Linked DNA regions of Arabidopsis thaliana. The protein of the gene in region 3 interacts with the protein of the main gene of each other region in a biochemical or structural test. Each region holds a gene or a part of one and is shown on either strand. Other genes may lie near its edges. The genes, in order: HCAR, DEG1 and LHCB5.

What was found.
Region 1: the proteins of LHCB5 (region 3) and HCAR form a complex in vitro, tested with the Arabidopsis thaliana proteins (one study listed by BioGRID).
Region 2: the proteins of LHCB5 (region 3) and DEG1 form a complex in vitro, tested with the Arabidopsis thaliana proteins (one study listed by BioGRID).

The regions. Positions count from the first base shown.
Region 1 is NC_003070.9:1,278,639-1,290,828, forward strand, and holds HCAR (coenzyme F420 hydrogenase family / dehydrogenase, beta subunit family), read right to left. Parts: upstream 7,982-12,190; 5' UTR 7,855-7,981; coding exon 7,773-7,854; intron 7,364-7,772; coding exon 7,258-7,363; intron 7,166-7,257; coding exon 7,081-7,165; intron 6,990-7,080; coding exon 6,878-6,989; intron 6,732-6,877; coding exon 6,647-6,731; intron 6,543-6,646; coding exon 6,501-6,542; intron 6,367-6,500; coding exon 6,288-6,366; intron 6,204-6,287; coding exon 6,152-6,203; intron 6,053-6,151; coding exon 5,990-6,052; intron 5,816-5,989; coding exon 5,718-5,815; intron 5,641-5,717; coding exon 5,605-5,640; intron 5,525-5,604; coding exon 5,463-5,524; intron 5,359-5,462; coding exon 5,331-5,358; intron 5,236-5,330; coding exon 5,156-5,235; intron 5,071-5,155; coding exon 5,001-5,070; intron 4,903-5,000; coding exon 4,845-4,902; intron 4,685-4,844; coding exon 4,620-4,684; intron 4,525-4,619; coding exon 4,430-4,524; intron 4,322-4,429; coding exon 4,231-4,321; 3' UTR 3,525-4,230; and 1 more. Other genes in the region: YUC3 (YUCCA 3), read left to right, coding at 886-1,599, 1,762-2,133, 2,466-2,693; AT1G04625 (Polynucleotidyl transferase, ribonuclease H-like superfamily protein), read right to left, coding at 9,193-9,282, 9,594-10,150, 11,056-11,182; MEE4 (GRIM-19 protein), read right to left, coding at 11,283-11,427, 11,514-11,585, 12,134-12,190. UniProt on the Arabidopsis thaliana protein: Probable iron-sulfur flavoprotein that converts 7-hydroxymethyl chlorophyll a to chlorophyll a using ferredoxin as a reducing equivalent. Catalyzes the reduction of a hydroxymethyl group to a methyl group. Belongs to the chlorophyll catabolic enzymes (CCEs).
Region 2 is NC_003074.8:10,362,460-10,373,495, forward strand, and holds DEG1 (DegP protease 1), read right to left. Parts: upstream 6,486-11,036; 5' UTR 6,406-6,485; coding exon 5,984-6,405; intron 5,895-5,983; coding exon 5,772-5,894; intron 5,614-5,771; coding exon 5,442-5,613; intron 5,321-5,441; coding exon 5,283-5,320; intron 5,056-5,282; coding exon 4,857-5,055; intron 4,739-4,856; coding exon 4,586-4,738; intron 4,483-4,585; coding exon 4,348-4,482; intron 4,278-4,347; coding exon 4,200-4,277; 3' UTR 4,150-4,199; exon of another isoform or gene 3,890-4,149; intron 3,210-3,889; 3' UTR 3,193-3,209; downstream 1-3,192. Other genes in the region: MYB0 (myb domain protein 0), read right to left, coding at 670-799, 909-1,047; AT3G27930 (beta-galactosidase), read right to left, coding at 7,134-7,302, 7,392-7,464, 7,556-7,637, 7,729-7,819, 7,914-7,990, 8,107-8,148, 8,340-8,470, 8,599-8,679 and 6 more. UniProt on the Arabidopsis thaliana protein: Serine protease that is required at high temperature. May be involved in the degradation of damaged proteins. In vivo, can degrade beta-casein.
Region 3 is NC_003075.7:6,403,727-6,413,469, reverse strand, and holds LHCB5 (light harvesting complex of photosystem II 5), read right to left. Parts: upstream 5,464-9,743; 5' UTR 5,271-5,463; coding exon 5,081-5,270; intron 4,998-5,080; coding exon 4,913-4,997; intron 4,824-4,912; coding exon 4,773-4,823; intron 4,675-4,772; coding exon 4,554-4,674; intron 4,448-4,553; coding exon 4,313-4,447; intron 4,235-4,312; coding exon 3,974-4,234; 3' UTR 3,621-3,973; downstream 1-3,620. Other genes in the region: AT4G10330 (glycine-rich protein), read right to left, coding at 6,334-6,427, 6,514-6,664, 6,772-6,919; AT4G10320 (tRNA synthetase class I (I, L, M and V) family protein), read left to right, coding at 8,961-9,494, 9,584-9,649, 9,738-9,743. UniProt on the Arabidopsis thaliana protein: The light-harvesting complex (LHC) functions as a light receptor, it captures and delivers excitation energy to photosystems with which it is closely associated.

The DNA.
Region 1 (12,190 bases), on a different chromosome or scaffold from region 3:
TCTCTAAAACTAGACCAAAGAGGAGCAAAAGAGAAACTCCGAAGTCCCAATGGACCTTTCATGTTTATGTATATACATGATCGTGAAGCAAAATGCGTTGTCATGTCTCTTCAGTGTAATCGATCAATGTAAGCAACATATAAGTATCACTTTTTTTAACCCTAAATGATTCCCACGTTGGCAGCAACCTGACATCAAATTTAATTATCTTGCTTTCTTTCTCTTCTCAAGTGTATATCCAAAGTCATGTATATCTTCTCTCTCAATACGCTTTAAATTTTCTATTTTATCTGGTTTCGACTTGGACTATAAGATTTTGGCAACTAAAAGGAGATTAAAAATAGTCTCTTTAATTCGGTCTGAACCGACCATAATCTCTCTTAATGATTTTAAACATTTTGGTAGTTCTTTTCCTAATTAAAAGAGTCAATCTTCATCTTGTATATTTGTTGTATACGTAGTTGATATTTGCCATGCAAAGAAAAGAAGATGCAAAATATTGAACCACTTTTCTTGTGACTAATTATTGTATTTGTTGGACGAGGATTAATTTATTACCAATAAGTAAGGGACATATGAAAAAAAAAAAATAAAGAAATAATGGTGGGCTGCAAAGCTTATCATTTGAGATATAAATAACATTCAGAAGCTAAATATATAATAATAATATTTTTACTAATTTTACAATTACCAATTTGCATCAAGTCGTCTTCTCTATTTATACATCTCCTTCTCCAATCCAACAGAACACACACATACACTTACATCTCCATCCTCTTGTCTTAAAAAGTTTCCAAAATCTTTCTTTTTTCTTCTTCTACATTCTTAAAATTTCTTCTGTTTTCTCCTCACAACCAGACAAGCAAACTCTAAACTCTGTGGAAGATGTATGGAAATAATAACAAGAAGTCTATCAACATCACGAGTATGTTTCAAAACCTCATCCCCGAAGGCAGCGACATTTTCTCCCGGCGTTGCATCTGGGTCAATGGACCCGTCATCGTCGGAGCTGGCCCATCAGGTCTAGCCGTTGCTGCGGGCTTGAAACGTGAAGGGGTACCATTCATAATCCTCGAGCGAGCTAACTGCATTGCTTCATTATGGCAAAACAGAACCTACGATCGTCTCAAACTCCATCTACCTAAACAGTTTTGCCAATTACCCAATTATCCTTTCCCGGACGAGTTCCCTGAGTACCCTACCAAGTTTCAGTTTATTCAGTACCTTGAGTCCTACGCAGCCAACTTTGACATCAACCCTAAGTTCAACGAGACAGTCCAGTCCGCTAAATATGATGAGACGTTCGGGCTGTGGCGGGTTAAGACCATTTCAAACATGGGTCAGCTCGGTTCTTGCGAGTTTGAGTATATATGCAGATGGATTGTGGTGGCAACGGGAGAGAACGCTGAGAAAGTTGTGCCGGATTTTGAAGGTCTAGAGGATTTTGGCGGCGATGTTCTCCATGCTGGTGACTATAAATCCGGTGGAAGGTACCAAGGGAAAAAGGTTTTGGTGGTGGGATGTGGAAACTCCGGTATGGAAGTCTCTCTCGATCTCTACAATCACGGAGCAAACCCATCGATGGTCGTTCGTAGCGCTGTAAGTACCAAAAGTCTTAAACCAAAAAAAAAAAAAAAGTACCAAAAGTTCAAATCTTTATAGCCCCTAAAACAGAGCATCCTCTGTTTCTGTTACTCTGTTTTCTAAAACAGAGCAGTATCTAATAGTCTGTGTTTTTTTTTCCTTTCTTGATTTTATCAGGTTCATGTTTTACCAAGAGAGATTTTTGGGAAATCAACGTTTGAATTAGGAGTTACGATGATGAAGTATATGCCCGTTTGGCTCGCGGACAAGACTATACTCTTTCTGGCGAGGATTATCTTGGGGAATACCGATAAATACGGTCTAAAAAGGCCGAAAATTGGACCGTTAGAGCTAAAGAACAAGGAAGGCAAAACTCCGGTTCTTGACATCGGAGCGTTACCCAAAATCAGATCGGGAAAGATCAAAATCGTCCCCGGAATCATAAAGTTCGGCAAAGGCAAAGTTGAGCTAATAGATGGCCGTGTTCTTGAGATTGATTCCGTTATTCTAGCTACTGGATACAGAAGCAACGTCCCTTCATGGCTTAAGGTAATAAATAAAACATCTTTCATTCATTGTTTCTTCTCAAGGTTTAGCTTAAATTTTAGACATTTAATGATGTCGGAAGACAAAACACACAAAAAAAACCACCCGACCCGGTCCTAGTTTAGTGAAAACCCTACTCAAATTGTGTTTCGAATGTGAGCAATAAATGCAAATGAACCATTAACATTTATATTTTCATCGAAAAGGATACAAAAACGTGGTACTAGTTTTTGGTTAGAAATAGAAATCCGGTAATGACAGTTAGGACTAAGAATTAGGTCAATAAATTCGTATGTGTACTAATTTGGTGTGTTGAATTTTAATTGTATTAACAGGACAACGACTTCTTCTCCGATGATGGGATACCAAAAAACCCGTTTCCAAACGGATGGAAAGGAGAGGCGGGATTGTATGCGGTAGGGTTCACGAGAAAAGGATTGTTTGGTGCGTCGCTTGATGCTATGAGTGTGGCTCATGATATTGCTAATAGGTGGAAAGAAGAGTCTAAGCAACAGAAGAAAACTGCTGCTGCTCGTCATCGTCGTTGTATTTCACATTTCTAATCATCATTATCAAATTTAGGGAAAAAAATATTCAAAAAAAGAAGAAGATAATTAAGCCCTCTCCTCGGAAGAAAATACCCCCAAAAAAAAGAGAATTGTGAAAAGAAAAAAATAATAGGGGGATTTTTCTTTGTTTTTTTAGGAAGATGTGGCTTTTTTATGTATTTTTATTTTAAGAGTGCTTTATTTTGTTGTTGTATTTTTTTTAAATCTTCATTTTAGATTTTGAACTCTTGTAAGAAGTTTTGCTTAATCTAATATGACAAATATATTTTACGGTTTTGTAATTCTTTTCTCAACGATGCATGTTGTGTTATCTCTATGATGATGTTGTTGATCAGGAAAAGAAACAACTAATTTCATGCTGTTTCATTATTGGAAGAATACTCTCACAAGTTAGAGCTGTTATTTAACTGATTAAGGAATTATTAGCCATTTTGTAATCATTATATTTGGCAAATGATTGATTTACACATGATTGTCTTGGACAGTCCATATTAAAGTTGTTTCATGGATTACAACCTCCAGGGAACACAAGTTGAAAATACTGAAACATGCATTTCTGTAGGATATGCAAAATCCATTAGGGATGAACAATGTATCTAATTTGAAACACAGATGGATAATAAATATAACATTATACAACTTTCTCAGAAAAACTTGAGTGAAATCATATATTATATATGATGTTGGATCTAGTTATAAATATATATATACTGAAACAGATACAGATACAGATCCAAAATATGCAATACGTAAATGAATTCTCTAACATTGTTATATGTCAAATTGCAACTCAAAATTAATTCAAGGTACCAAAGTAAGCTTTATTTCACTTAAATATATTATTAGAAAAAACGTTTACATGCTCTGTATTAGGACAATGCCTCTGGTGAGAAAAAATCAACTATGGTGCAAAAGAGCAGAGACATTTATGAGTTTCACTTGAGGTCTGAGAGTCTCTGCAGCAAAGTCATTGAACGAGCAGAGCAGAGACTTGACTAACAAAAAGACAAAAAAAGAAAAAAAGAGAGAGAGTAAAATTTGAAGTTTCCAATGTGTGAAATATGGTGATGAGTAAGTTAGTGAGTGAGTGAGTGAGTGAGCGAGCGAGTGAAGCTTAACCATGGTTCCTTCTTCTTTGTCCAAGCAAAAAAAAGACATTAAAAGCTAATTCCCCCCAACTGTGTAAATGTCTGGTTCCCATCCTCTTAAAACAGTTATTCATGTTCTCATGCAAAACCCTGCAACCTTTTACTCGGACATCACCTTAACCTAAAGATATGGAGGAAGGAACCCACATGGGTTGATTTGGATTCAGCCGCTGATTTAGACTGTTTCTTATTCTCTGTTCTCTGCCAAAAAACACCAAACCGACCCATCTTTTCTTGCCGGTGTCTTACCAAATTCACGAGGGAAATAGTTTTGGATATTACTAACATACTACAAGTTGAGAAACAGTAGGACCAATGTACATTTACTCACTTGTAGGATGAAATATACATTTGGAAACTTACATGAGAAAGGCCTAAAATGTTCATTTCTTGGAGAGCATTTTATCTATTTGGCCGTTTTTGTTGTACATTTCCACTATCTTTTTGGCATATGATGGCATGTGGGTGTTTGCTCTGTAGATGGTAATGCAGCTTTGGTCATTAGAGAACGATCCAATAGTATAGAAATACACAGTTGATCGCAATAAACTTTTATCTCTAGGAGTGTGTTTCAGATCTTACCTTTGCTTTCCCCATTTGCGGTTTACGTACAAATAGTTTCTGATGGTATGGTAGTCCAACGAGTACCGAGCAAATTCTAGACCCTTAGGACCAACCTGAAGCAAGAATGGTTTTGCAAGTTAAGAAACTCTTTGACTTTTTATGCAATGAGCTTGTTTCTCGGTTTGTGTTCATAAGGAAATAATCTTACCAAATTTAGGATGAACGCAATAATGTTTCCAACAAATAGTGGCGCTGGCTGAGCAGGACCTTGACCTAAGAAATTATAGACTAGTTAGAAGACTTTAGCACAATGTTAGTTGCATGCATTTGCTGAGAACTTTCTTTTTGGCATCTAGCTTTGCTTGAAACTGAATGTCTTTAAGCAGAGACGATTCAAGAAACAAAAGAGTTTCGAATACGTTTGAAAACATACCAAACTTAGCAGCATCGTCTGCCTTAACAGTTTCTGTCACAAAAGGTCGCCGATCACCCTGAAACAACAACAAAAGGTGTGTTTGTTCATGTTATTTGTTAAGTGGACTCTTAAAGTCTTAAATATAACAACAAATATAAATGTTAGAAACTTTACGCTGCTGATTGTTGGAGTGATCTCCAAAAGGTTTTCTACCAAGCTGAGCATTTCTTTCCCACGTTCATTTCTGTGGTTTAAGGCATAAACAAAACTAATTTTATCCAACCACGAGAACCTATATGGTCCATGTCAAAATACGTAGAAATATTGACCTCACTGTAATATACTGTGGATGGTCAGTCATGTTCAGACCTGAATACTTCGGAACACCCATGTAACCGATAACCAAATCCTAGATAAACAAGCTCATACATATCAGGAAATGTTTGAAATTGGCAGAATCAAAATTAAGTGAAAAGACATCTTAATTGCTAGAGAAACACTCACCGCTAATGCATTTGTGTAATCAAAGCAGCTGCAGAATAAAAAAGATAGGGTTTGTAATTGTAGACAAGTTTTAAAAATTTCCGACAGGTTATCTATTTCAAGGTATAGAGACAATGCAGAGACTTGTATTACCTGTAACACGATGGAGCTATGACATCTACTAAATCGTTTGCAGGTAGAGAGAAATAGGGAACCTGCTTTAGCCAAAAAAAGTTTTTTAAAAACGGCTTTCAGCTGCAATTGCAGAGCAACACAGTATTTTAAGCGAATTTACCTCTTCAATGTGTCCATCCAAGTGTTTGAGTTGGACCTATAAGAGAAATTGAACAAGATTGGCATCACCAAAGAAAATGCACAGATAAGTGATGGTTTTGTATTAATGCTAACCTTGTAATCTTGCATAAATTCATAATGGAGAACAGTCTCTGGCTCTTTACTAGCTGCTTTCAGAAACTTGTCTAGTCCATCTCGTGTTCCGTTGTCCACTATTAATCAAAGATGTTCTTTTTACTTGTTTAAAAATGTATAAGCATTTCTAGACCTAAGCATACAAGACTCCGAAATAACATATACAACATGGAATGTTCAAAAGTACAACACAAGAACTAGTTGTGAAAGTTCTGGAGAAAAAACAAATCTAGATAGGATGAGGAAAATACCACAATTGGTGCCTAGTACATACAACTTTTCCAGATTCAGATGCTGCTCCACTGATCTCAATGCTGCAGTATAAGAAATCACTCTGCATTACAATACTATGAGAGTCACGATATGGAGAAACTTGAAATATACGTCCACAAAAAAGTATGTTGAGCCCATACCTTGCACTTGGCAACCCACACCGCAAAACAGAAGACGCTTCACTCCGGAAGCCTGTTACAATACAAATTCTAAGTTCATGTGAAATGGATTCAGTGATTGAAAACACAAACAAGAAATAAGGGTTTGGCAAATAACCTCGATTAATTCAAGAGTATTCAGATTAGGAGACAGAGTTGGCTTGACACCTCTTGCAGCCAAAACTTCTTCAGGTGTCCTTAGAATGAAAAGAAATGAAACATCAATACGCTTCTATATCCAGAGTAACAGCAAAATATGGATCCACATCTAAAAAATGGCGACTTGAAGAAGAATGGACTCAAAATAAACCACATTAGGAAGGTGGAAAACCTGGCTAATACTGGTCTTGGAGATAATCTGTCTTCAGGATCACTGTAATATTTCAATAAATCAGTTACATGGATAGATGGAAAAATCTACAGCATGGTCGATAAATGTAAGCCTAGTCCATTTCTGAAATTCAACAGTAGTTTTACCTCTGCACACAAACGACAGCTTCAACCATATTAGATTTCAGCATCTCAATGGCTATGGTTGTGACAATTCCAGTCCACTGAGCTCCTGCAACCGAAAATAGAATGAAAAGTAAACAACAAAGCTAAGCTAAATTCATCTTGAACGAGACACAAAAGTGCCCTAGCTTAGATTGAGCCAGGAAAAGAAGTTAGTAGAAAATGTGGAACAGTGGAAGGGAAGTGTCTATTTACCTTCGACAGGCTTCAACTTACGAGCATAGAGCTGCTCTTGATGCACCCCAAAATATGTATCTTGTAAGGAATCTGCTTTCCTTCCTCTACCATGCACAACAGGTTCCAAGCTCTGCACAAGAACTTAAAATATTAACAAAATAAGAATCTTAGCCCATCAATTAAAAAGAGTATCAAATCTTATCCATTTATATGGACATTACCTCAATCCTTGACATTCCATCTCCAAGAAATGCACATGCCTCCTTCACATGGGCAATGTAGTAGGTGTCGCATAGCCCGCACTGACTGCAAACCCATCAGAACACCAAGGATCTTGATAAGAATGAGACAAAAATAGTGAGGTAAACAAACAAACAAACAAAAAAGAAAGAAAAAACCTGCAATGGTCTTTAGCTGGATAGGTTCCTCCGGGTGGGATAGGTCTGGACTTTTCTCTCCAGTCTTCTCTTAATTTAACCTTCTTTTTTGGCTCTAGATTCATATCTGCAATTAAAGCCATAAGAGAAGGGTTCATGCAGGCTTCAGAGAGAAGATAAAAACACACAAGACAAAGATCGATGCTATACGAAACAAAAATCTGTTCCGAAATTCTGATGCTTTCAAACAGAATTGACATTATGCAGTAATACATACTAAGTTAACACAAGATTTCTATCTTCAAACTCGATAGTGACAGCTGTGGAAGACCAAATCAAGCATTCGACAAACATTACCACTATGTTCGAAAAGAAAACTCCGAATCTTAGATAAAATTTCATCCCTTTAACGAATTTCAGGGATCGGTTACACTGAAATTTTGTATAAGACGGGTCTTTTAAAAAACTGAAGAATCAACGACGTGTGTAAAACAGAGTGCTATAAAGAGAAGACGTGGCAGAAATAAATTGAGCACCTTTGGAACGCGAAGAAGAAGAGTTAACGACGGAGAAGACTGGAGGAAGGAGAGAGAGCCTGGAGGTGACGACAGTAATCATGGTTGCCCAGCCAGAGAAGAAGAGAAGAAGAGAAGAAGAGAAGAGAGTAGAGAGAGAGAAAAGAAGATATTTTTTTGCTTTTGAACTTGGATATCTTTTAGGAACCAAACTTGATAACCAATTCTTAACCGGACTGAATGGTTTTGGTTCGTAAGAGCTCTTTCACGGGCTTTCTCCATTTTTTTATTATTAAAATTTTTAAAAAGTTATAAGAGAGTTTTAATTTTTTTTCATATTCTAATGGTAAGCTCTCTTATAAGAGTTTTCTGAAAAATAAAATAAAATTTAAAATAATTATATTTCATATAACTTAATAACTATTGTAAATCAGAAAATATTAAACATATATTATTTTGAAACATTTTAAGAAAGATATGAAAATAAAAACACGGAATAACGATAAGTTCTGTCGATTGTTGCAAAATTTAAAGATTGAAAATAAGAACAAATTGTTTTAAAGAATAACAAGATTGTCGATTAAATCGGTTTTAATTTAAGGACTAAAGTGATAATTTGTATAAAGTATAAGCTCTGATATGATTATAAGTGACTCTATTGCTATATATCTGAAATTCATCTTCTTGTTTCTGTCTCCTTAACTGAATCCATAATGTGTTTATATAGTTATTCATCATATGTTCACAGAATTCTGTGTTTCTTTCATGTGCTAATTGGTACAATGTTAGTTTAATTTTAAGAGTTAAAAATATTTGTACACAAATTAAAGTTTTCACATAATAGTTTTCAGTCTCATATATTGCAACAAGTCTCTATGCAAGCTAACACAAAGGCAGTCTTCCTATGCAAGCTCTTTAGCACATCATTCAGATTATCTGATCGAACTACATACATGGCCACTAACACATAGTCACATACTAACCATCTCCTAACTTGTATTGGTTAAAACGCTCAATTTATAACACCACAACATCGACAAGAAATCGAGAGTAACAACTAAAACATGCTTCCACGACTCTCTATGATTCTACAAATAAACAACAGAGACTACAATAGCATTACTCTAGTTACAAGCAGAACCTAGACAACATAACAAAAGCCAATTCTTGATTCAGAACAAGGAATGATGACTAACTCAAAATGATTGTCAAAGAAACCCATTTCAATACTCTAAAATTGGAAAGCATCAATATAGCAAATGATCATAAGTGGCTGATACAAGGTCCAAAGCATGGATTACGAGAAGAAAACAAAAAATCCACCTTCTTCTTCTTCTTTTGTCTTTTTAGCCTCTGTTTGTTTCTGTTCCTCTCTTACAAAAAGAACTCACCGATCACGAGAACGTCAAAGCTCGATGATCACCATCCATTTTCACCACCGTCAGAACCGTCGGAACTGTAACTCGGTGATCACACCATCAATGATCTCGCCACCGTTTGTCTCTCTGTTTTCTTGCGTTTCACGATCTCTCTAGCAAATCATGGCGGATCTCACCGAGAGTCCCAAGTATTGACGCAAACCACGCGCCGTTGTCACGAGACTCAGGTATGTTGCTTCTCGCTTAAATTCCTATTTGATCTCTTGGAACCTTGGATTTTTAATATTTAGTTTCTGCACAAAAAAGGTCTCTTTGAATTAGGTCAATCAATATTTAGTTTTCTAACCGCAATTTCATCGGAGGAACTAGGGTTTGATCTTGTAGTTTTTTTTTTTTTCCTCAAACATCAGCTTTATTAATAATTTGCTGTAGCAAAGTCGCGATGTAAAAAATCAGTTATTACAAACGGGATATAGTTATAGCAATAAAACTGAGTGTTCAAAGGAAGTTGTTGTTTTGCCAGAGCATCTGCAGCCATGTTTGAAAATCGCCTTGTCCAAGTAAACTTGCATTCTTCAAATTTTGATCTCCAAGCGCTTATATCTCTTATCCAATTAAAAACTGCAAAATTTGAAGACCGACCATTGACAATCTCTGAGACTTCTTTATTGTCACCTTCAAAGTAAATTTTCCTATAGCCCCTACTCCAACAATGTTGCATGGCCATGACTAAAGCTTGGAGTTCACTTTCCATCGGATTGGTAGTAATAGAGCCTATAGCATGAGCTGCACCTAGAAAGGTTCCTCGATCATCCCGTAAGAGCCAACCCGCTTTACTCGGAGCGTTGCTGTGGTAAGTGCCGTCATAGTTGCATTTCGTCCAACCAATAGGGGGTGTTGTCCAGAGATTAGCTGTTGGTTCTTGTGACGTTACTCTGTCAGGTTTTGATGATAAACGGTGGGTGTACTCTTCTGCATCTTGCCATTCTTTGGCGTCTTGTCTTGCATATCGGAGAGAAGCTTCCCATGGAATGATCTTGTAGTTTAGTTTTACAAAATTGACCTAAAATTGGTGGATAATGTTACGACAGAGCTACACTAGGACTTTGGAATGGGCTTTGCTGTATGAGGCCTTCGTTACACTAGGACTTTCTTCATTCTAACTTTTTTTCTTCTTTTCTTTAAAAATTATTTTAACCAAAACTAAAACTTTCACTAAAACATTTAAATAAATAATTTTTTAAAGGTTTTTTATAAATACTAAATTAATATGACGTTGTGAAATCTAACCGGATTTTTGATCCCGCCATTTAACCGTGGTCATTAGCGATTCCATAAATCCAACATATTTTTCACATCTTCATGTATATTTAGCATTTATTTTTTGTTTTCTTTTCTTAAAAGTTTTTCAAATTTTTTTTGATTTTTTTAAAAGTTTTAATAAATACTAAATTAATATAACGTTGTGAAATCTAACCAGATTTTGGATCCCGCCATTTAACCGTGGTCATTAGCGATTCCACAAATCCAACATGTTTTTCACATCTTCATGTATATTTAGCATTTAATTATTTTTATTTTATTTTTTTAAAAATGTTTTCAACTCTCTTTTTTTTTCCTTTTTCTTTTTTTTAAAAGATTTTATAAATACTAAATTAATATGACGTTGTGAAATCTAACCGGATTTTGGATCCCGCCATTTAACCATGGTCATTAACGATTTCACAAATCTAACATATTTTTCTCATTTTCATGTACTATATTTAGCATTTAATTTTATTTATTTTCTGAAAAGGTTTTACTCTTTTTTTCATTTTCAAGAACTCTTGTTTTCAAAATTTTATTGTTTTGGATATTAAATTCACATATAATTATATATGATTTGGTTCGATTTCACTCGGTAAGCTTTTTCGAATATTTTTCACCTGGAGCTGTCAAATAAGCCAATTTCTTGCAGCTTGCTGATGAATCATGAAACTGTTTTTGCCTCATATTACGATTGAAACACTTAAGAGAAAACCAATACAAGAAGAATACTGTCTGTTGAATCATTCTCTTATTACCCGAAGAAAAAAAGATATAACAAGAACATATCAATCCTCAGCGAAACATCATTCATCATCATCATATGCATTTGAGAGAAACTAGGAAATCACCACACATCAGGACGGAGTTCCCCAGTAGCCGGAGGCATCCAGCGACCAGAATTGTACACATTCTCGCCAACTTTCCATCCCGGAACATCTTTCATTACATCAGCCTCATATTCCAGATACTTTTTCCACTCAGACACAAACCTAGAATGCAAAACGGGGATTGAAACAAGATTGCTATCTGAAGGTTGCTGCAGGCACATTGACTTAAATTTGAGAATATGGTTTACCTTTCATCTTCTTCTGCTTGAAGAATGGGAAGTATTGTTCTACGAGCAGCATATTTCTCTTCCTTCAATGCCCTAAACATCACATCAATCTTGATAAGAGCATTAATCTTGATACTTACTGATATCAAATCAGACTTGTTTAGGACCATTGTAAATGCATAAGAAGTTAATGATCAAGCCAGATATAATACTAAAACAATCTATCTACATAGAAACAGTATCCCGATAACTACTATCAAAACATGCAACTAGATAATTGCTTTCATCATAACAGATTCTCACATCTTTGCAATTGTGGCTTTAAGAGTTTACAAATTGTTGACGAACTTTATATTCGTTTAAGGCTAAACTCATGCTGATTAAGCTTCAACCAAAATGTCGGGGAATACTAATAACAGAATACATAACAGTGATTCAACAAGCCTATGTTTCCATAGGTTAATAATATTAACCAATTCCTACGATAAACATACTCAAGTTTCAACAATTATTAACCAAAATGTATCCTTCACTACATTACTATGGTCATCAATCACTCCACAACACTAATTTTACCAAGGCGATCTCGAATTTTAGAGGAAAAATTGAAATGTGAACGAGCTATTACAAGTCGTTCTTACCTGCGGATTTTGTTTCCCTGGCCGACCTGGTACATTCCCCAAGCAAAGGCACCAGAA
Region 2 (11,036 bases), on a different chromosome or scaffold from region 3:
TTTCGACATCTGTATGTGATTCATAAATGAATGCATATTTATATACATAGAGAGGATTTTTTATTTTTATTTTTCAATTGTGGAAAACGTTTCTAACTCTATAATGAATTTTGAGAAGTGACTGTTTGCACGACTAATACACTTATGAAAAAGTGTCTATTATTCATTAAATATATCCACTTGAAATGTTCGAACATTTTTAAGTTCAAAAGATACTCTTAAAGATTTGTTTTTGGAGGAAACACCTTTTAAAATTGAAATAACCCACCAACACATCGGTTGAGTTTCATTGAAGAGAAGACAAACTTTTATCTTGTGCAACTCTTTTCTTCTTCAGAAAAATATATCAACTTGAAAATTTTGAACATATTTTAAGTTCAAAGGATTATTTTTAAGATTTATTTTGTGAAGAAAACACCTTTTGAAATGTGAAATAATCCACGAACACATAGTTTAATTGAAATAAAACAGTCTTTACTTGTCAACTCTCTTTATTTTTACATTTGCAAGTAAGAAAATCCTTCAATTAGATTTTTAAAAATCAACTTAACCGGCCAAATCTTTGTTTAAAACAACAATTCAAATATTTGACGAAAGAAAAAATCAGTTAACGATCGATTAAATAAAAAGACATGGTGTATAATATTGTAGTAACATAAAGTTATGTACCTATTGCCGAGGAGCTTGTGGAGACGAATAATGAGGTCTTCTTCTTGTTCAGTGAAATTGCCTTTGTTCACATTAGGGCTCAAATAATTCATCCATCTCAGTCTACAACTTTTCCCACATCTCTTTAGCCCTATCAACGAATCAAATTTAGTCTAACTGAGATATATTTATATATGAACTAGCTAGAGACTAAAGTTAATATATATAATCACAAAACGCGCGAGAGAGAGAAAGAGTACCAGTTTTTCTGACGATGCGGTTCCATTGGCCAGTGCCATGATTAAGAACATAGTCCATAAGGATGTTGTCTTCTTCAACTGTCCATAAACCTTTCTTGTATTCTTGATTCTCTTTTTCATCTCTTCTCCTTATTCTCATTCTTTTTTTATTCTCTGATTCCTTCTATGTTTGTGTGTGTCTGTGTGTGTGTGTGAGAGAGAGAAAGAGATTATGAGTAGTGAACTTATGATGGGTTTTCGTGACACGTGCTTATATATACACTCACATCAATACGTATCTTTGTGTAATCATGGCTATAAGCATAAATATGTACCTAATAATGTATAGATAGCGACTATAGCGTTATCCTTTGTTACCCTACGTTACGTATTAAAAGCTAAAATTTGGCAGTTGGTTTAATTGTATCTATGGCCAAAAAATTTATAAAAAAATTGTTTTTTCTCCTCTGGCAATATCTAAATACTATACTTGCGACATGAAATTTACAAAAACAAATCTACTAAATATGGGGCAGATTACTGCGAAATGTTCTATATTGTATGATTTAACTGATTTGTAATTTATTTGACACGTTAACCAGTTTGTTTATGCACTGTATACACTTACATTCTACTAATATTTGATAATGATCTTTTTCATTGGAACTACATATTATTTTTAGTTATTTATACAACAAAGTGGGATCGGAACAACCTATTTAAAAGTACCACAGAGTTCACCCTAAAACAGTTTTTTTGCAGAAGATAAAACATGAAAAAAGAAACTTTGATGGATCAATGAAATGGTTCTCCTTTCCATATGTCTTGTTTCTCAAATTATAGTCAACTTTTCGACATACTTTTTAAAAGTTCATGAGGTTACCCTCTTTAATTGAGTTTTAAAAATAGACCACAAAATTTATGTGTTCATTTACATATCATATCGATTTAATTTCTTAAATCTAATCAGATAGTTTAGCCTGTATACTGATTAGTTAGTCAAAATGAGAATTTTCAAGTCACAAGTTCGAACATTATAGTAGATAAGAGACCAAATTAATCTCCTCTAATTTTCGGGGTAGAAAAATTATGGACCTAAATTATATATATGTGTGTGCATACTGTTAATATACAAAGACATATATATATATATATATATATTTTGATGAAAGGTTTAATTTATTTACTCAAGAAAGCGTCTACGTACAAAGTATGAGTATATGTTGAATACCATATAACCTAGTTCCAACTAACAAGTTAAGTGGTAGAGAATAAAATAGTGAAACTGAATATGTAAGGAATATGTCTCACAACTATTTAACTAAATAATTGGAGGAATAGAAGCTCTGCTCTTCACTTGTCTCCCTACTTACCAGTTACCACCTTCCTACTCTCTTCTACTTTGGTTTTCGAGCTAGCTTATACATATACCCTTATAAATATGCATACTATTTACTTGCACAAAAACAGAAAAATATAGTTTCCACTAGCTAAATAGTATTTCGGTTATAAAAAAACTACTTTAATTTTTGACTAACTCGAGAAAGTACAAACAATTATTTCTAAGAAATGTAAATTATGTATATGAAGTAGCTACTATCATTATTCTTTTTACTTATAAGTACTGTAGTTTTTTACTCAATGTTTTTGTTATTAGGTTTTTTAGTATTAAGTTGTTAATATTGGGGCTACATAAAGCCAAACAAACATATATGATTGGCATAGTCAAGTTCTCAACAAGCTATCCTCTAACGAAGCATTTGGGTAACGACATGTCGTCGTATATATATCTAGATACACGTACATATTAAATTAGAAATTTACTCCAAAAGCAGAGGATTCTCGTAATCATTACCAAGTCGGCTCGAAAGTAGTTTATATACATTACTATGAATACATTTCCAAATGAAGATGCCCGTGATTTATGACCCCACAAATTCAAAGACAAAGACAAAAAAAATATATACCCTATTAAACCGGTTTGGTTTAGATACAGTCCCAACCATAGAAGATACAATCTTACTACATATACTTTACGTTGCAAATTTATAAATACCAACCCATGTCAGTGTCTTGTTGGTGTTGCTTAAAAAGAATGACACAAATATTAAATTCCACGTAGGGACCTTCGCTGATCATTACATATTCGGTTCGTTTTCACTTATCACGTGGGTAATATTTGATGTTATGAAAGTGTTCAAAAACTACGTAAATTATAGTTTTTGCACCCAAAAAATAAAATACAAATGGTTGAGTTTGTATACAGGGAAACATGCAGACATAACCTCAAACTTTTTTTTTTTTTGCAAAGCTACCTTTCACCTGCAACACAACCATCCAAGTCATAACTTAGCTCGAGTAAATGATCTCTCAACGAGAGCATGCGTTCACAACTTAATAAAAAAACTCAATAATTTATCAAAACTACAGTACGTTGTTTTAAATATTTTAAAAAACTAACATAATGTGAAATAGGGACCGTAAAATGACTTAACAATTGAACAAATAACCTAAACCGTGTAAGACTATATTATAAAGATTCGAACACATGACATGAACTCAAGACATAACCATATAATACACGTACATCTTTTGATAAATCATGAAGAATAATATCAAAAAGAAATTCTTGGTAATGAGTCGAAAATCAAACCATTAAATTTTCAAACTCGAATGTTTGTAGATGTAAAATTTTAGGAAGTTTCATGTATAAAAAGTAACCATGTTCGGAACTGAATAAAAGCTATAAAAGGACTTTGTTAACTTCGGAATCCGTAAGTTCAGAATTGTCTCGACTAAAATAAAGGTCCAAAATCAGTACTAATGTACTATGTAATATGTATCATTGCTAAGCCGCACAATCATGAAATTTTATTTTGGTACTACAAAGCCGCAAAATCAGTACTATGCATCATTGCAAAATCAGTACTATGCATCCGAGAGAGTGTTGAAAAAAAAATTTGGTACTACAAAGCCGCAAAATCAGTACTATGCATCATTGCTAAGATGAGGTAACTGTCCATTAAGCCGACGAAATTCGGTTTTCATTTTTCTCATTTTGATTTTTTCTAGGTGTCAGACTCGTCACTCCCAATGTCTGAACCGAAATTAAAAACCAATCCAAACCATAAGACCGTTTGAAGACATTGCAATTTTGGTTATTTCCGGTTACCTTTCGCATGTATGCAAATATAAACAGATTTTATGTACACAATTGGACGATCTATTTTCCGAACAATTGATATACAAAAATATAACCCACCGGACTTTTTTTCTACACGTTATGTATATTTACTTCTTTCAACGACGTTTCTAAGACTCGTCCGGCTTTGGTTCGAGAGTTACAGAGATTTTCTCCTTGTGATCGCCTCTTAGAACCTCTACGGTCACCTAATCAACATCATCAGTGTCAAAACTATCTCGGATGCAGAAACTAATTGACAAAAACTGCGGAGTTTACCTCATCGCCGACTTTGCATTGATCGAGAATCCGGTACAGATCACTCCCGTTAGAGACTTTTGTACCGTTCACCGACGTGATTATGTCTCCTAGTACTAGTCTCCCGTAACCATCACGTTTTGTTGACTGAAGTCCCTGTGGAACAAAACCAATTTTACACATTTCAATATTAAAACCGCGGAGTGAAACATAGAGAAAATATCTGTTATATGGAAACTTGGAAACAGGAAGAGCTTACGGCTTTGCCGGCTGGACCACTTGGAGGAGCATCCAAGACGAGCACACCGCTCACTCCCAATTGCTCAACAGATTGGTCCGGTGCGAATTTGATACCTAAGATTGGTCTGGTGACTTTACCAAATCTCACCAGCTGATCAACGATACCACCAACCTGAACATGAGAGAAACAGAGCTCGAAACAACTTTAGTCTCCCGTTAGTGGATTCAATGATAGAGAAAGACTCTATCTGATCAGATTTGCAATGGGTAAAAAAGAAGAGAGAACTCACTGTATCAACTGGGATCGAAAAGCCCACTCCAGAAGATGCACCAGAAGGAGAATAAATGGCTGTGTTTATACCAATTAACGTTCCTGAGCTATCTAGAAGAGGTCCTCCGCTGTTACCAGGGTTAATGGCTGCATCTGTCTGTATCACATCTTGAATTGGACGACCAGTTGCAGCAGAACTAATTTCTCTTCGCAAACCACTGTACAAATCATAATGCACAAACATGCTACAGTTTTAATAAGAGAAAAGGAATAGTATAGCCATTTGGCATGAAGAGGGGCAAGAGAAAATATATGTATCCAGTATCCTCAAGTACCAATCATCTTTTTTGACACTTTCATTTGTGAGTTCGTTATGAGAAGAACACATCTGATTAGAGTAGAATGCAACTTAAAAAAAAGAGAAGACAAATATAATTTAACATACCTTATAACACCAGTTGTGAGAGTATGATCAAGTCCAAACTGCACAAAAAAGTTCTTGCTTTAGTGCGTATGAACAAGAAACATAAGTATTGACCTAGCTAGCAATAGAAAACACAAAGCAGAGCTTTAATCTATGATCACTTTAAGGATGTATACTCACTGGATTGCCAATGGCAAAGACTTTCTGGCCAACAAGCAGATCAGCAGAGACTCCAACAGGTATAGGTCTTAATTTGTTTTTCGGTGCATCAATACGTAATACTGCAACATCCTTATCTTGGTCAAATCCAACAACTTTTGCATCAAATGTTGTTTGATCAGCAAGAGTGACCCTGTTATATACATCATCCAACTTCCTTATCATACACAAACATCAAAAGAAACCATCCAAAGAAACAATGTACTCATTATAAAACTAAGAATACAACAATTACTAATTCCAATTTCTATCAAAAATCAATCAGATTCTCAAAGTTTCAACATAACTAACCTGAGATCAGAAGCACCACGAATAACATGGTAATTGGTAACAATATGACCTTGCTTATCCCACACAAATCCTGAACCAGAGCCTTGAGGTACCTCAAGAACGTCCAATGTAAACGCGTCCTGCCTAATTCAAACAACATTAGACCAATCCTCAAATCACGGAGAGAAGAAATTCAAAACGAAATTCACCAGAGAGAAATCAAATTCAGATACCTCACGGCGAGATTAGTGATGTAAACAACGGAAGGAGTGTTCTCTTGAAACAAACGAACCGTCGCGAGCTCATCAGTTTGAAGTTTCTTCGGAGTACTAACTACAAACGCCGAGGCAGATTCAACGGCGGGAGAAGCGGCGAAGAGTGAAAACGATAACGCGACGGAGGTACAGAGGAGGAAGAAAGGTTTAACGGCGGAGAACGGAGTAAAATGAAGAGTATCATCATCGTCGTCTCTGTTGTTGTCGTTTAGTGAAAGCTTCGAGAGGATTCGGAAATAGCGTTTGGATCGGATTGGGTAAAGAGAAATTGGAGAGGATCGTGAAGAAGAGAGATTGAAGAAGGAGAGGTGAGAAGAAGGAGGAGAGTGAAGGAAGAGAGTGGAAGAAAGGAGAAGCGAACAACTCGTCGTCGTCGCCATTTAGTTTCTTCTTCTTCTTCTGGTCATGGGACAATGGGATTGTGGTCTCTGTTTTATTTCATTTTTTTTTGTAATTAAAAATATTAATTTTTGAAAATAATGGTTTTTCTATGCGAAGCTATGGTTTTGTATACGTAACCGAATCGAACCGAAATTGAATTGAAATTTGTTTAGTAAACCACTATTTTATGATCTTATGAATCTGGAATAAACAAAACCGGGTCTTTTTTTTGTTACCGAATCAAATTGAATCGAAAACTTTTTGTACTTTGAAAATAAATTTAAACAGTAACCTTTATTATGGTAAATATTATAAAGAATGTTGTTACTTATATCCATAACCCGTAGTACACCAATAATCGATTTTTTAAAATTTTTAAATTTAAGTTGTATTTCTTTATATTATTTGTTTTGTTTTTGTTTGATATTTGTTCACCCGTAATATATCATCCCATATAAATATCGTTCCAAACCGAATGAAAAGTCCAAAAACAAATCAGGATTTCGCTTCATTTAAGAACTTCGAAAAATCAAAAGCCCAAAAAGACCAAACTTAAGAGTTTAAACCAGATAATCCACTCCTAATTTTGAACACTAAACACTTGTACTCCATAAGAGTAAAAATGGTTATTCCTAAGTAATTCTTCTTTCGTCGAACTTATTAAATACTTGACTTGGTTGATATCTAAATCTACTAGATAAAAGTGCAAAAAGATTAATGGTGTAGTTTAGAGAATCTTCTGGGACGGTCTAAGTTCTTTTGGCAGCTCACTAAAATTCTCTGCGTCCACATCGGCTTGATACATTGGTCTCTTCCCCATTTTCCACACAATCCCTTCAGCTAAATGTTCTTTGTTCGGTGTCAGCATTACAAAGTTTGGATCAGCTCTTTGGTAACTGCAATTTCACAAAATAAAACAATGTGAAGAAGATCATGAAGCTAAAGAGGGTTGATTTAATTTTAAACTTGTCACAAATGGACTGACCTGGCTTCTCTTAAGTTATCAACACGTAGACCGAACCCACATTGGACATTTCCAGTCCTATGATTAGTTGTTGCTGCATAAAAAATGAGTCCAAACATGTTCAAATACCAAGAACCTATGTTCATCTTGATTTCGCTGCATTCAGGTTATTTATCAACGCATACCTGAAATATTGAATGCGAAAGACGGTTTCCACCACGACTTGAATGCTAATGACAATGTTGAGCTATGAGCTCCGACTTTACCCTGCAAAAGTTGAAAATGTTACATACTGAGCAAAATTTGAGATAAATGGTTTCTTTTTGAGTAACTCGATAAGGTAAATATTTTTTTATACCTTCAGCAAAAAGTTCTTGTTGGCCTGCCAAGACGCAGCCACCTGCAATAAAGAATCTGGGGCATTGGGTGGCGTCTTGGAATCATCAACCCTTCAATATTAAGACGAAATATAAAGTTCTGTTTCTGTATAGACAAACAGTAGCTACAATGTTTTTTTTTTTTTTACTTAGAGATGTTCACTACCTCGATTGTAGCTCAAAACCAAAATCAATGTAGTTTGTGATTCCAACTACTTGGTTTTCTTCGAAAGGATTTTGCACCTGTTCCAAGTCCATTAAATCGATTTCATATTGAGCCAAAGATGTGCTAAACTTTATATATGGAAGACTAGTATAAGATGCAGCACAGAAAAAGGACTTGTTTGAAAGAGTTGTACCCGTCTTTGGACCACTACGTGTTGGTAGAACGAAGCAATAAACTGCATTTACAAGAAAGATAACATAATCAGCAAGACTAAAAATGCTACAAAATGGATGATATGCCATTAGATAAATAATGTGGTCGTTTGTCAAGTTCCATGAGATACTGAAAAATTGTTTGGGGTTAAGACTTGTGCATACAGACAGCAAAACAACATGTTTTCATCTACACGGATTTTAAAAGAATCACCTGAGAGCTTCTTGCTAGTTCAATGCCAATGTTAAAAGAAGGAGTCAAGGGGCTTTGTGACCCTACTCCATAGCCAGCAGCACAACTCCAGTTTCTTGGGTCTGTGTACTTTGCCAAATCTTTGCTTCCATCTAAAACAAAATCCAATAACAATTGTTGATGCTCACTTTCTTTCAATCACATAATTTATAGATACTAGTTTCCACATGTGATGCGTAAAATCTGTTCAACAGAAATAAAACAATGTAAACTAACTCACGTAGCGGCTCATATTGTACTCCTACTGTAAGACTTCCCATCTTGCTTACAAGCCATGCATGCTTTGGCAATTCGTTATTCGCTGAATTGAAGAATCAAAGGGTCAGCATTGTGTCCAAAAGAAAACAACGTGAATTCACAGAGCAACTTTATGCGCTTACCACTAAAAGGAGTGACAGTAGCTCCGACAGACAAATTCGTTGAGCCATATCTCAACCCCATGATTCTATATTCTTCAGATGATTTTCCACTACAGAGACAACATATATTCACCCTCACAATATTACATCTAATCTAAATATAACAACAGGGTACACACCTAGATACGACTTACGTAATTTTTGAAATCAAAGGGTAGACCGCAAATGCCCCGATTCCATATTTAGGATAGTAAGCAGAAGACCTCATTAGAAGAACCCTTAATGATGATGACAAACAAAACAAACAATTTCAAAACATTAAACTACTGTAATGAACATAACCTCCAAGAATATATCAAAAGTAGCACAAAGTTTACGGATTCGAGGTTGACACAGAGAGATCAACAAAAGTATGAGGATCATCAACATCACTGCATATTTATCAAAAACAAACTAATCAGTATTCCAATTCTCCAACAACTACTTGTAATCTTTCAGATTAAAAACTAAAGAATCTATACCTTTGCCAGCGAAACTCCGCATTCCCAACAAAATCTCCTTCCACTCTACCATCTACAGCACCCGAAACCTTTAGACTATTAAGGAAAATTCTGATTTTCTACATATCCCTAATACATCCATTTAGAGAAAATTCTCGAATCATCACTATATAGAAACTAAATAACACAAAAGAGATTTCAAAATTGGATACAGATGCAACCAAATCCACATGAGGATCATCAGTAGGCTTCAACAAAAACTTGCCCGTGAATCGATTAGCTTCTTCAAAGTAATCCTCAAATAGACATCTCAATGCAAGCTTCCCAAACAACAAATTATATGATGATTCCAACATCCTGCATCAACAACAACAACAATTTCTCACAATCGCACAATTACAATTTAACCTATAAATCAGAATCGATCTATTTGATTAGATTAGGTTATACAAAAACTACTTCGAAATCACGCGATTCTAACAAATTGAAAGTATGAGGATCAGATCGGAGAAGAAGAGGAGATGGTAGACCTAGTGCGGGCGGAGAGAGGAGGGTAATCAAAGAGCGGAGGAACGAGTACCACCGGAGGCGGTGGTTCTTTTTTGACAAGAGCATTCCCCATTGTTCTAGAACGGAGAAGAAGAGATTCTGCGACAACGAGAGAGCTTCTTCGATGAATTCAATAGTTAGTGAGAGCTCTCGGCGATAGTCTCGCTTCTGCTTTTGCTTCACGTTTGAATATTTCAACATTCTTCTATATTAAGACTTTATATAGTAATAAACCTAAGCGGCGCTTTAAATTAACCGACTAATCCAAAAAAAAATCTTTAGAAACTAGACATTATCTTTGTAAAATTTAAATATTAAATTATTCGTATAATATTTTTTTCCCAATTTTTTGGATATTATTTATTGTTGTATACAATTTGTCAAGGTTATGGAGAATGTGTTTATGACAGTTTTGGTAATTGCAAGATATTGTGATGCATATGTGAATGTTTTGAAACCATATTTTAAGATAACATTTTATTAAATTTCAAAATTTTGGTTCTCTACACTGCTACACAACTGAAAAGTTGTTTTTGTTTTGAGATATTTTTTTCTTGGCAATTCGTGGTGACGATGATGTTGATTTGGAGTTATTGCAGCTTCTAGTGGTGGCTTTTCAAGCCTCCAAATCATCAGTTATTGGCATTGGTGGTATTTCTTTAGCTCACTGATATGTTTTGGTTTTGCCTTGATGTTGATGTTGTTGTGAGTTGAGGTATTAGCGTTGCAATGCGTTTGCTGCCTAGTGTTGTGTTTTTACTATGCACTAGTGGAGGTAGTAAGACTAGAGCTGTCAATTGGTCAAAAGGACCATGGGCTCAGCCAAACAAATACTATTACGAACATTTAAAATTTGGCCAAACTAAAACATGGTTTTAGTGGACTCAGCCCAAATAGATCTGCAGTTAGAGGTGGGTTTGACCATTTGGTCAATGGATAAGTCCACCAATTAATTATTTTTGCAATCATCTGTCTTCTTCTCTTCTTCTTCTTTCGTTTTTTCTGAAATCGAATTGGAGAAAAACACAATTGAGAATCGCTTCTAAATTCAAAGCTCTAGATTGTCTTCTTCCTTTGAGGATCGTCTTCTTCCTTCGAGGATCGTCTTCTTCTTTTGAGTATCGTCTACAATGGGTGATTTCTTTGATGAGGTACGGTCTCTTATTTTTAGATCTGGGTTTTGGTTCAGTCATTCTGTTTCCTTTAAATGTGACTTAGCTATTCATGAAAATTATTTTGCAAGATAAAAA
Region 3 (9,743 bases):
ATGAAAAACAAACGTATCATTACATCAAAACATGATAAAATTATATAAAACTCGGATAAACTAACCAAATTTTAAGATTAGAAAATAACTAACAGTTGATTTTAACGTTAACAAATATTCAATTGTACAAAATTTGGATATTTTGTAAAGGTCATGGCAAAAAAAAAGGTGAACCTTGCTTGGATTGGGAATCAAAAGATGCGAAAGGCAAGCTTCAAGAAGATGATGCTAAACGGGCTGATGCTTTCGTTAAGAAAATAAGTGAGATGACTTAGCCACCTTGTGAGATGACCACACCACCAACTTACATTCATATTGCACAATATGGTCACATCACAAGTTTACTTTCACTAGCCCGTTCAGAATCCTCTAAAGACTGGCTTTCGGATCTTTCGATTCCCGATCCCAGCAAGTTTCACCTTTCTCATGTTTGTTACTTGTCACTTATTTTTTCTTTCTTACATTTGTTATAAGTTTTTATGTTGTGTGAAAAAAAGTTATGCATTTGTGGTCTTATATACAAAAAACCAAAGATAAGGGATAAGGATGTGAGAATCTAAATATGTAAATTTACACATTCAATGCCTCATATTAAGTATATTTAGGGTAAGCAAATCTGACAAAATCTAAAAATCCCCACATACTATTTACTCTTTGTCAATACCATTTCAGAATTTAAAAATGTTTGAATGGATTGTTTTGACAACTTGATGAATAAATTTAGGTTATTTCTTTCCCTCTATGTTTATCCTCATCCTTCTAACATTGTGATTTGTTTTCACTTTCATTTCACTTTCACGTACTTTCTGATAGGATATAGAGAACAATCTATGTTGCATGGAAACGGAAACGGAAACGCGGAAGCGAAACATTTCGGAAATGAGAAACGATTTTTTCTTAAAATTAAGGATTATAAACGTTTTGGAAACGTATACACACATTCATATATATATATATATATATAACAGTAACATAAAACTATATTAAAGAAAAAATGGTTTAAACAATACAAGTCCAAATTATCAATATTAAATAAGTTAACTAAAATTCTAAAAGATCAAGATTAAAAGGTTTCAAATATTTAGACCAACATTCTCATTCTCATTTTTATAAGTTTCATCAATGATAATATAAAGCTCTCTTCAAATCTGGTTTATCAAGAGAAAGATCTTAAAAATCAGAATTTTATAAAATTAGTTATATGTATTAATAATCTGAATATTTCCAATTTTAGTTATTAAATTTTCAAAGTCAATAAAAACAATTTGTCGTATGTCTATTTCAGAAATGTGAGTTTCTGCTTTGGAAACTCACGTTTCCATCGTGTTTCCAAACATAGATTTCTAGGAAACGCGTTTCTGTGACAATTTTCGTGTTTCCGAAGAGTTTCCGTTTTCGAAACATTTCGGAAACTGGAAACGGACCTCGGACCGAGTTTCCATGTAACCTACAATACACAACAAAGTTTTGACTTGGAAAGTATTTAGCTTGTTCATTATAAGAAGATGATCTTTATAAGGATCTACTTATTTTGGAACTTAACTTGTTCTACGCAATAGATTAAACCCGATTAAGAACACGTCTAATCCTAACTCTAGTTTGATCCTATTCACCCAATCGTGAAACACTAATAGAGATAATCAAACACTCACCTTCTAAGCCTTATTATTTTAGCTATGAAAATTATAAATCCACAATAATCTAGAGACTAGAGTGTTAAACGAGGGCTCATGGCCTCTCTAGACTATATTACACACCACACGAAAACCCTAATCGTAAGAAAATCGTAAATTTCCACAAATGTATTAACCTTGCTCATTAATGTTATATTTTCCTTAAGTTTGTCGTAGATAATATTTAGTGAATCTCTAATACAACTCGCATCTTCAAACACTACGCCAAGTCAGCTCATGTGTCCTTGACATGTCATATCATCCTCTATAGTTTGTCACGTCAGATTTTGCATCCACGCAGCTTACAGACTCTTGATGCCTGCTGCAGCTCCTAATCGAACAACAAGCTGTTCTAGAATCTGTATCTACACTTTCACTTCTTAGGTTTTGTAAATTTCACCTTCACTTATATATAGTCAAACCCTAAAATCTTCTAGGGCCATGTCAATTCCCTAACACTTTCTCTGTTTTAATCTCTCTGACCACCTCCGTTTTTGTCCATATCTCATGCTCATTGGCCACAAGTCATCGCTTCCACGCCGTTTGTGTCCTACATGTAACTATATATTGCCTTTATTATATTACTCTTTGTCGTTTCGAATTATAGATTTATAATTCTTTGTATTTTTTGTTTCTAGAGATATATATCCGTAAATGTTAATGAGTTTGCAAAGTGAAGAACTTGAGCACGATCATTCTTTAAAACACTTCAATTTTCAATTTTGATCGTTGTTTTCATGCCTTATTTTGCTTTGGATTTTGCATATTCCACAAAATTTTGTCGTTTGGTTTTGCAAGAACTATAGAGAATTGGATGCATAAGAGTGACTTAAATTGCCATGTGTATGAAACTGATCGATTGGAAGGTTAATTATTCTCTACTCCGAGGTTTATGTCAAGTGCTTATATTGGTAAAAAAAATCTTTAATTCCCCGAATATTGCGAACCGGAAATTTGTAGAGCAATTAAGTTGCAGTTCTACTAAATGAGGATGAAGTTATGTCTGTAAATCTAGGTGTCTACTTTAGCTTTGAAGTTTACAAATCTCACTGCTATAGTAATAGTCTAGAGTGTTAGCGACGACTCATGGCCTCTCTAGACTATATGTACACAACATGAAAACCCTAATCCTAAGAAAATCGTAAATCTCCACGAATGGATAAACCTTGCACATCAATGTTATATTTTCCTTAAGTTGTTGTAGAGAATATTTAGTGAATCTCTACAATAACTCGTATCTTCAAACTCTACGCAAAATTAGCTCCCACGTCGTCTTTTACATGTTACATATCATGTCTCTAGTTTCGTCACGTCAGCTTCCATACTCTTGATGTAGGACCGCGAGTTCCAACACTTGATGTGTTAGTTTTACAAATTAAACGAGGGTTTGGGTTTATAAAGATGAGTTCAGATTTAGATTTAATTTTTTTTTTTTTTAAATAATACTAATATTAATAATCAAAACCCCTTTAATGGGCCTCGGGCTGAGGCCTTACAAAAACATAGATCATGGAATCTGACGACTACACCAGAGGACGAGTTCTAATCCCGACGGTGGTCGGAAGTAGAGACGACCTACTTGTTAAAAGTAAATGTAATTGTTAAATGTTGGTTAGATGTGACAAAATATCAAGCAATATAAATGCTTGATTTGCTTAAAATGGTTATCACTTATTGAACCTTTGATCTGACAGTGAAAACATTCTTATTTTGAATCGAAGCAAATGTACATGCCTAGCTAGAGTTTAGAATCCAATTGGGGTTGTGATTTCTGCAACTTCAAAGCTCACAGAGTGAAAACACTAATTTGTGTTTTGCAATCGAAGCAAAATTCACATTTTTATGACACATCGGTATTACTGTATGAGACATGCAATTGTTGAGAGTGAGTAATACTAGTTCTTTACAATGTAAGAATGATTAATTAGTTGTGAAAATATTCTGCTACTGCTCATTGCTATTTGATCTTCTGCTACTTAATATTGTTCAACGGATCACATCTCTCGACTAACTTATATAGTCCCAAATTCCATCACAATATTAGTTGTGAAACTTTTTACCATACTCGCCACTAGTGATAAAATCGCAATGTATGACTAAATTGTGACAGAGCGTTCTTGGTAACAACAAATATTAAACCAATGGGTGACTATGTATATCCTTAGAAGCATGATAAAGCACCATTGAAAATTTGAAATATATCAAGAAGATTCAGATGGAAGTTTTTTTAACATTGTCAAAAGGAGTTCCAATCGAACAAAGTGTACATTTTGGAAGCTCTTAAAAAAAGTAGAAATGGCTTAGAGAGTGGGAGCTCTCTCGGCAGTTCCAGCGATGACGGTAAGCAAGTTGTTTCCAAAAGGATCACTGAGATGCTTTGCAAGGTTCTCAACAGGACCTTCTCCGGTAACATACGCTTGGATAAAGAAACCGAGCATCGCAAACATGGCTAATCTCCCGTTCTTGATCTCTTTGACTTTGAGAAGAGCTCCTTGCTCAGGGTCCTTAGCAAGGCCTAGAGGATCAAATGGACCTCCTGGGTGTAGCTTGTCCTCGAAATCCTACCAAATATTTGCATTTCAAGTTTAGTCATTTTCCCATGAGTAATAGCTAAATGTAGAGACTAGAGAGTAATGTACCAATCCGTTGGTGATTCTGTAGTACTCGGCTCCACCGAGGAGAACAACCTCAGCAACTACGGCGAGAACAAGGTTGATAGGGATGTTCTTGCCAAAGTAGTTCAATGTGTTTCCATCAAGAAGCAAAGCACCAGTCTGCAATCAGTATTCCAAAAAGAACCATCTCATCACATCAACACATTCTTGCTTTGCTAAAGAATCTAAGTCTGAATGTAAATAAAGATTAGACGTAGGCAAGAACCTTAAACCAGACAGCTTCAGGGCCACAGTTAGCGCCATATTTGTTTAAAGCTTCAGGAATGATGAAACCAGCTGCTCCTAACATAGCCCATCTCGCATGGATCAATTCAAAAGCTTGGTATCTACAACCACATTCATTAAAGAACCAATCTTAATGACAAATTCGATAGATATAGCTCAAAGCAAACACAAAAGGTTTAGGATAAAAGAATCTACTTACTTAGCAAAGTTCTCAGGCTTCTTTCCAAGACCAAATGGGTCATAACCATAACTGCAAATTCAGATTCAGACCAATAAACCTTAAGCACAGAATCCAAAAGTAGGCATACATACAAAGAGAGACATGAAAAAGTGTCTTACTCTCCAGCAACTTCACCGTTTAAGTACTCTGGGATCTCTGATCTATCCAAAAGACCATCAGGCAAGAAAATTCTCCTGTCAGGACCTGCATAAGAGTCACAATTACAAACACATTCACAAAGAAACAGAGCAAGAAATGATTATAAAAGGGATTTAGAAGACACATACCATACCACTTGGCGAGCTCATCGCTAGTCTCAGAGACAGCCTTGGACTTAGCAGGAGCTGGCTTTTTCTTAGAGAAGAGAGCAACAGTCTTGAACGTGGATGGGCTTGATGCCAACGGAGCAGACGATCTTGAAACTGCCCTGAAGTTAAGGGGAGTACCAAGCATTTCCGACACACCCAAAGACGCCATTCTTTTAGTCCAAAGTTTCAAGCTTTACTCTGGTTTAACACTAGGAAGAGCTAAGTGAAAGAAGGAGGAAGAGACGAAACTGCTCCTATAAGGTGGAGAGTAGGATTCGTTCAGGATTTTGATTGGTCTGGATTGAAAATGTGAAATATGATTCTGTCCTCTGATTGGTTGTGGATGCTGATGTGGCTTTTAGATTGGTTTTTGTTGGATAATTTATTTTATCCATATCCTCTGTTTCTCCTTTTGTGTGGCTAAGCTTTCACCTATACAGCAAAATGTGTTACAAGAATCTCAAACACATGAAAATCTCAACTGTTAAATGTCATCCACAAGCCTTTCACAGTCCTAGTTGGGGTTTTCAGTAAATTCCTTGGGACATTTGGAATCACTGTGGTCCTGTTTACTACCGTAATGTAGACGACAACCGGAATTTTCATATAGACGTAAAACTCCCAAGCTCAACGGTTAGATTTTCACATTGTATCAACAGTTATGAACATACTCATTACACCAAAAAGAGAAACGAATCATCCGACTAGTCCTAGACGTGAACATACTCTTTCTACAAGGAGTTTCCCACAATTCTATAACATATACATCATGTGGATCGAAACTGAAGCGATTGAGCCGCAGGATCATGTACATAGAGAATACGAAAATTTAATCATCTTGGTTCACAGTGCCGGTTCACACACAGTACTACGGTAGAATCGAAAGAGCTATAATGAATTTATGCCCTTTGGCCCTAGAGCTGAGCTCACTGTGCCACTATACGCACTATTCTACCTCCTTAAACTGAGAGAAAATCTCAAACTCAACCTCCATATTGATCCAAGTTGAGCCATAAAGAACAACTCATAGCACCAAAAATCAGCACTCAAACCATACACATTACCAGAATGATAAATCAGCCACCTAAATTATGCGAATCCATCTTTATACCATACGTAAAATTGTACAAAAAGAAAGGAGATTATCACTAGCCCCAAATCTACATTATTGATCTAAGAACAAACCAAACACTACCATTTACTTGGAAGCTGCAACAAATCCTAAAAGTTCATCATTTTAACCACTTGTCGATTTCATTTGTAGTAGCTTTCACAAGCTTCTTCGTGCTAACAACAAGTTCATCAATCAGTGAATCAACTTCATTCCTGTCAACAAATCACCAAAGTCAAAATCATCATCTTCTTCTTCAAATCCTTAATCACTAAAAATCTAATTGCAGACAAATACTCACAGAGATGGTTTTCCAACGTTGTAATAAGAACGAGAGTGATCATAAGCAGCTCCTCTTCCAACACCATAGCCAAAACCTACACCAATTCCACAACCAGCTCCAAATCCAAGACCAAATTGTAATCCAGGAACTCCTGGTCCGAATCCTACACCTGTTTTCATCAAACCAATCTCTACTCTCTTAAACCAAAACTATCTATAAATAGCTTCGAGCGATTCGCGAGTCTGCGATCAAAATTGGGAGAAATTAGAAATTTACCTCCGATAAGACCGGCGCCGAAACCAAATCCGCAACCGACACCGAGTCCAAAAGCTGGACCAACTTTTCCAATGTCTCTGATCCTAACTTGGGGAAGTTTCCAGAGCAATCCTTTGTCATCGTCTCCGGTTCTTCTTCTGTTGCTCATCGTCCCTTTCGCTCTCTCTTTCGGCGTGGATTCGCCAATACATACTTTAAATGGGCCTATATTATAAGGCGCACTCTTATTTCTCAAGGCCCAACTTCAGCCCAATAGTCATATAGATCTCATTTCACAAGCGATATTTGTTATGTTTATTTTATTTTAATCTTTTGTTTTATATCATAATGAATTTTATAGAAGATATCTGTTATGTTTATATTCATAATGAATTTGTTTTATATCATAATAATATGGATTTTCATTAACAACATTTTTTTTAATACATAAAACTAAAAAACCCACAATTATTCTCAAATTTTCACTTTGTTTTCAGTTACTTTATATATATTTGCCAAACATATTATATAATATATGAAGATTTGTTCTTACATATATTTAATGGATTGATGCCTCATTAGTTTTATTCTCAATTTCAAAACTAAAATTAATAACAAATCTTTCGTAAAACTATTAAATTTTAGATTCAACTAGATTAAACTCCATCCAATATGCATGTTTAATTTTTAAAACTAAAATAAATTTAACAAAAAGATATATTAAAATCTTATTGTAAGTAGAAAATAAATATATAATATTTTATTTTGAGAATTGTTTATTTATATATTCGTTTTTTCCTTATTCGAAAAATATTATACATGGAAATTACTAGTCAAATCATCATCTAATTTACATCTATTTACAAATCTATCGTCTACTTTACCACTAAAAATGTGTTTACTCACAATCATATTTTCTTGTTGAAGTATTCTCATTCCCACCACGTATAAAATGATTATATGAATGCATAAAGCCAACTACATGTGTTTTTATTTTCACTTTCACATAGTTTTTTAACCACTAAAATTATTGATTCATAAAATATTTTGAAAGAAAATATATCACATAGCAATAATTAATGATTTATTTATAAGAAAAACTAGAATAAGTAAAAATTACTCGATCGCAATGAGTCTATAATAAACCAATAAAGGTTGAGAAATTTGATTGGACAAAATTATAAGCACAATGATAAAAGATTAAGGCTTATAGATTCTATCGCAAGTAATAATTCTTTTCATTTTATATAAAACTATTTTGCATTTAAAAATATGTTTATCATTATTTGTTGCATATTTTGTACGAGAAAATTATTTGAAAAAATTCTATGCATGTTTTAATGTTAAAAAAAACTCTGTTGAGTGTATTCACGAGCCACTCAATGTAATTTTTATCTGATGTGAACATAATATATGCCTAAAGAAAAGTTTGAAACTCACCCTTATATTCAGATTGATGTTGTGGACTAATGTTGAAATATATTCTAGTATAAGTTCTAGACCACATGATTTCATATAAACTTAGGTCCAACTTTCACCAATTATTATGAAACATTTGTATTGGGTCTTAAATTTTTGCGACCCATTTGCAGATATTTTTGTTTTGTTTAAGCCTCGAAATTAGCAAAACTACCCCAAAATTAACAAAAATGCCCCATAATTAACAAAAATACCTTATAATTAGTAAAAAGTTCCATAATTGACAAAAAATGTCCAAAAATTAATAAATAAAAATTATCAATGTCTCATAATTAGGAAAAATAAATCAGTTTTTATTTTAGAAAAGCGTCAATTTGTTTTGTATTTGGCCTTGGATTTTAGATTTTAGTACATTTCTTATTATATTAAAGTATGTATATTAATCAATATTAAACTACTATCTTATTGATCATCATTTAACAGTTTATTCATCTAATATTTTCATCATTATTCATCTAATTCATCTGGTTCAGTATATCAACCACCATTTGACAGTTTCATAATAGTCAAAATATTTTCCTTCTTCCTTAAATCGATTTTTTAATACCAATAAGTGGAAGTTTGACCCAAAAAGAAAACAAACAAGTTAATGGGCTTACTACGGCCCATTAATAAACAAAAACGCACCAAAACTTCATCTTCAACGCCGGGGACTTTGATATCATCTGCGCCGAACAAAAACTCTGCAGAAACCCTAATTTTCGTCAGTGATTGATTCTTCCGTTTCCACCATGGAAGAAGTATGCGAAGGAAAAGAATTCTCATTCCCTCGTCAAGAAGAAGATGTCCTCTCCTTCTGGACTGAAATCGATGCTTTCAAGACACAGCTCAAACGCACTGAGAATCTTCCTGAGTACATCTTCTACGACGGACCTCCTTTTGCCACCGGACTTCCTCACTACGGACATATCCTCGCTGGTACGATTAAAGATATTGTGACTCGGTATCAGACCATGACTGGTCACCATGTCACTCGTCGGTTTGGGTGGGATTGTCATGGCTTACCTGTTGAGAATGAGATTGATCGGAAATTGAATATTAAGAGGAGAGATGAAGTTATTAAGATGGGAATTGATAAGTATAATGAAGAGTGTAGGAGTATTGTGACTCGTTATGTTGCTGAGTGGGAGAAGGTTATTACTAGGTGTGGTCGTTGGATTGATTTTAAGAATGATTATAAGACTATGGATTTGCCTTTTATGGAAAGTGTTTGGTGGGTTTTTTCTCAGCTTTGGGAGAAGAATCTTGTTTACAGAGGATTCAAGGTTTGTTTGGCATTCTTCTTCCTGCATTGATGTGGTTTTGAAGTTTCGTGGATCGTGATTTTTGTATTTGGGTCAATTCTGGTTTGCAGGTTATGCCGTACAGTACTGGTTGTAAGACACCTTTATCTAATTTTGAAGCTGGTCAGAACTATAAGGTAATGTTGTTGTTATTGTGTTCTTCAGGTGATTGATTTGTGTTGTATAGTTTGATCTCTGATATTGGTAGAATGTGTGTATGTACAGGAAGTC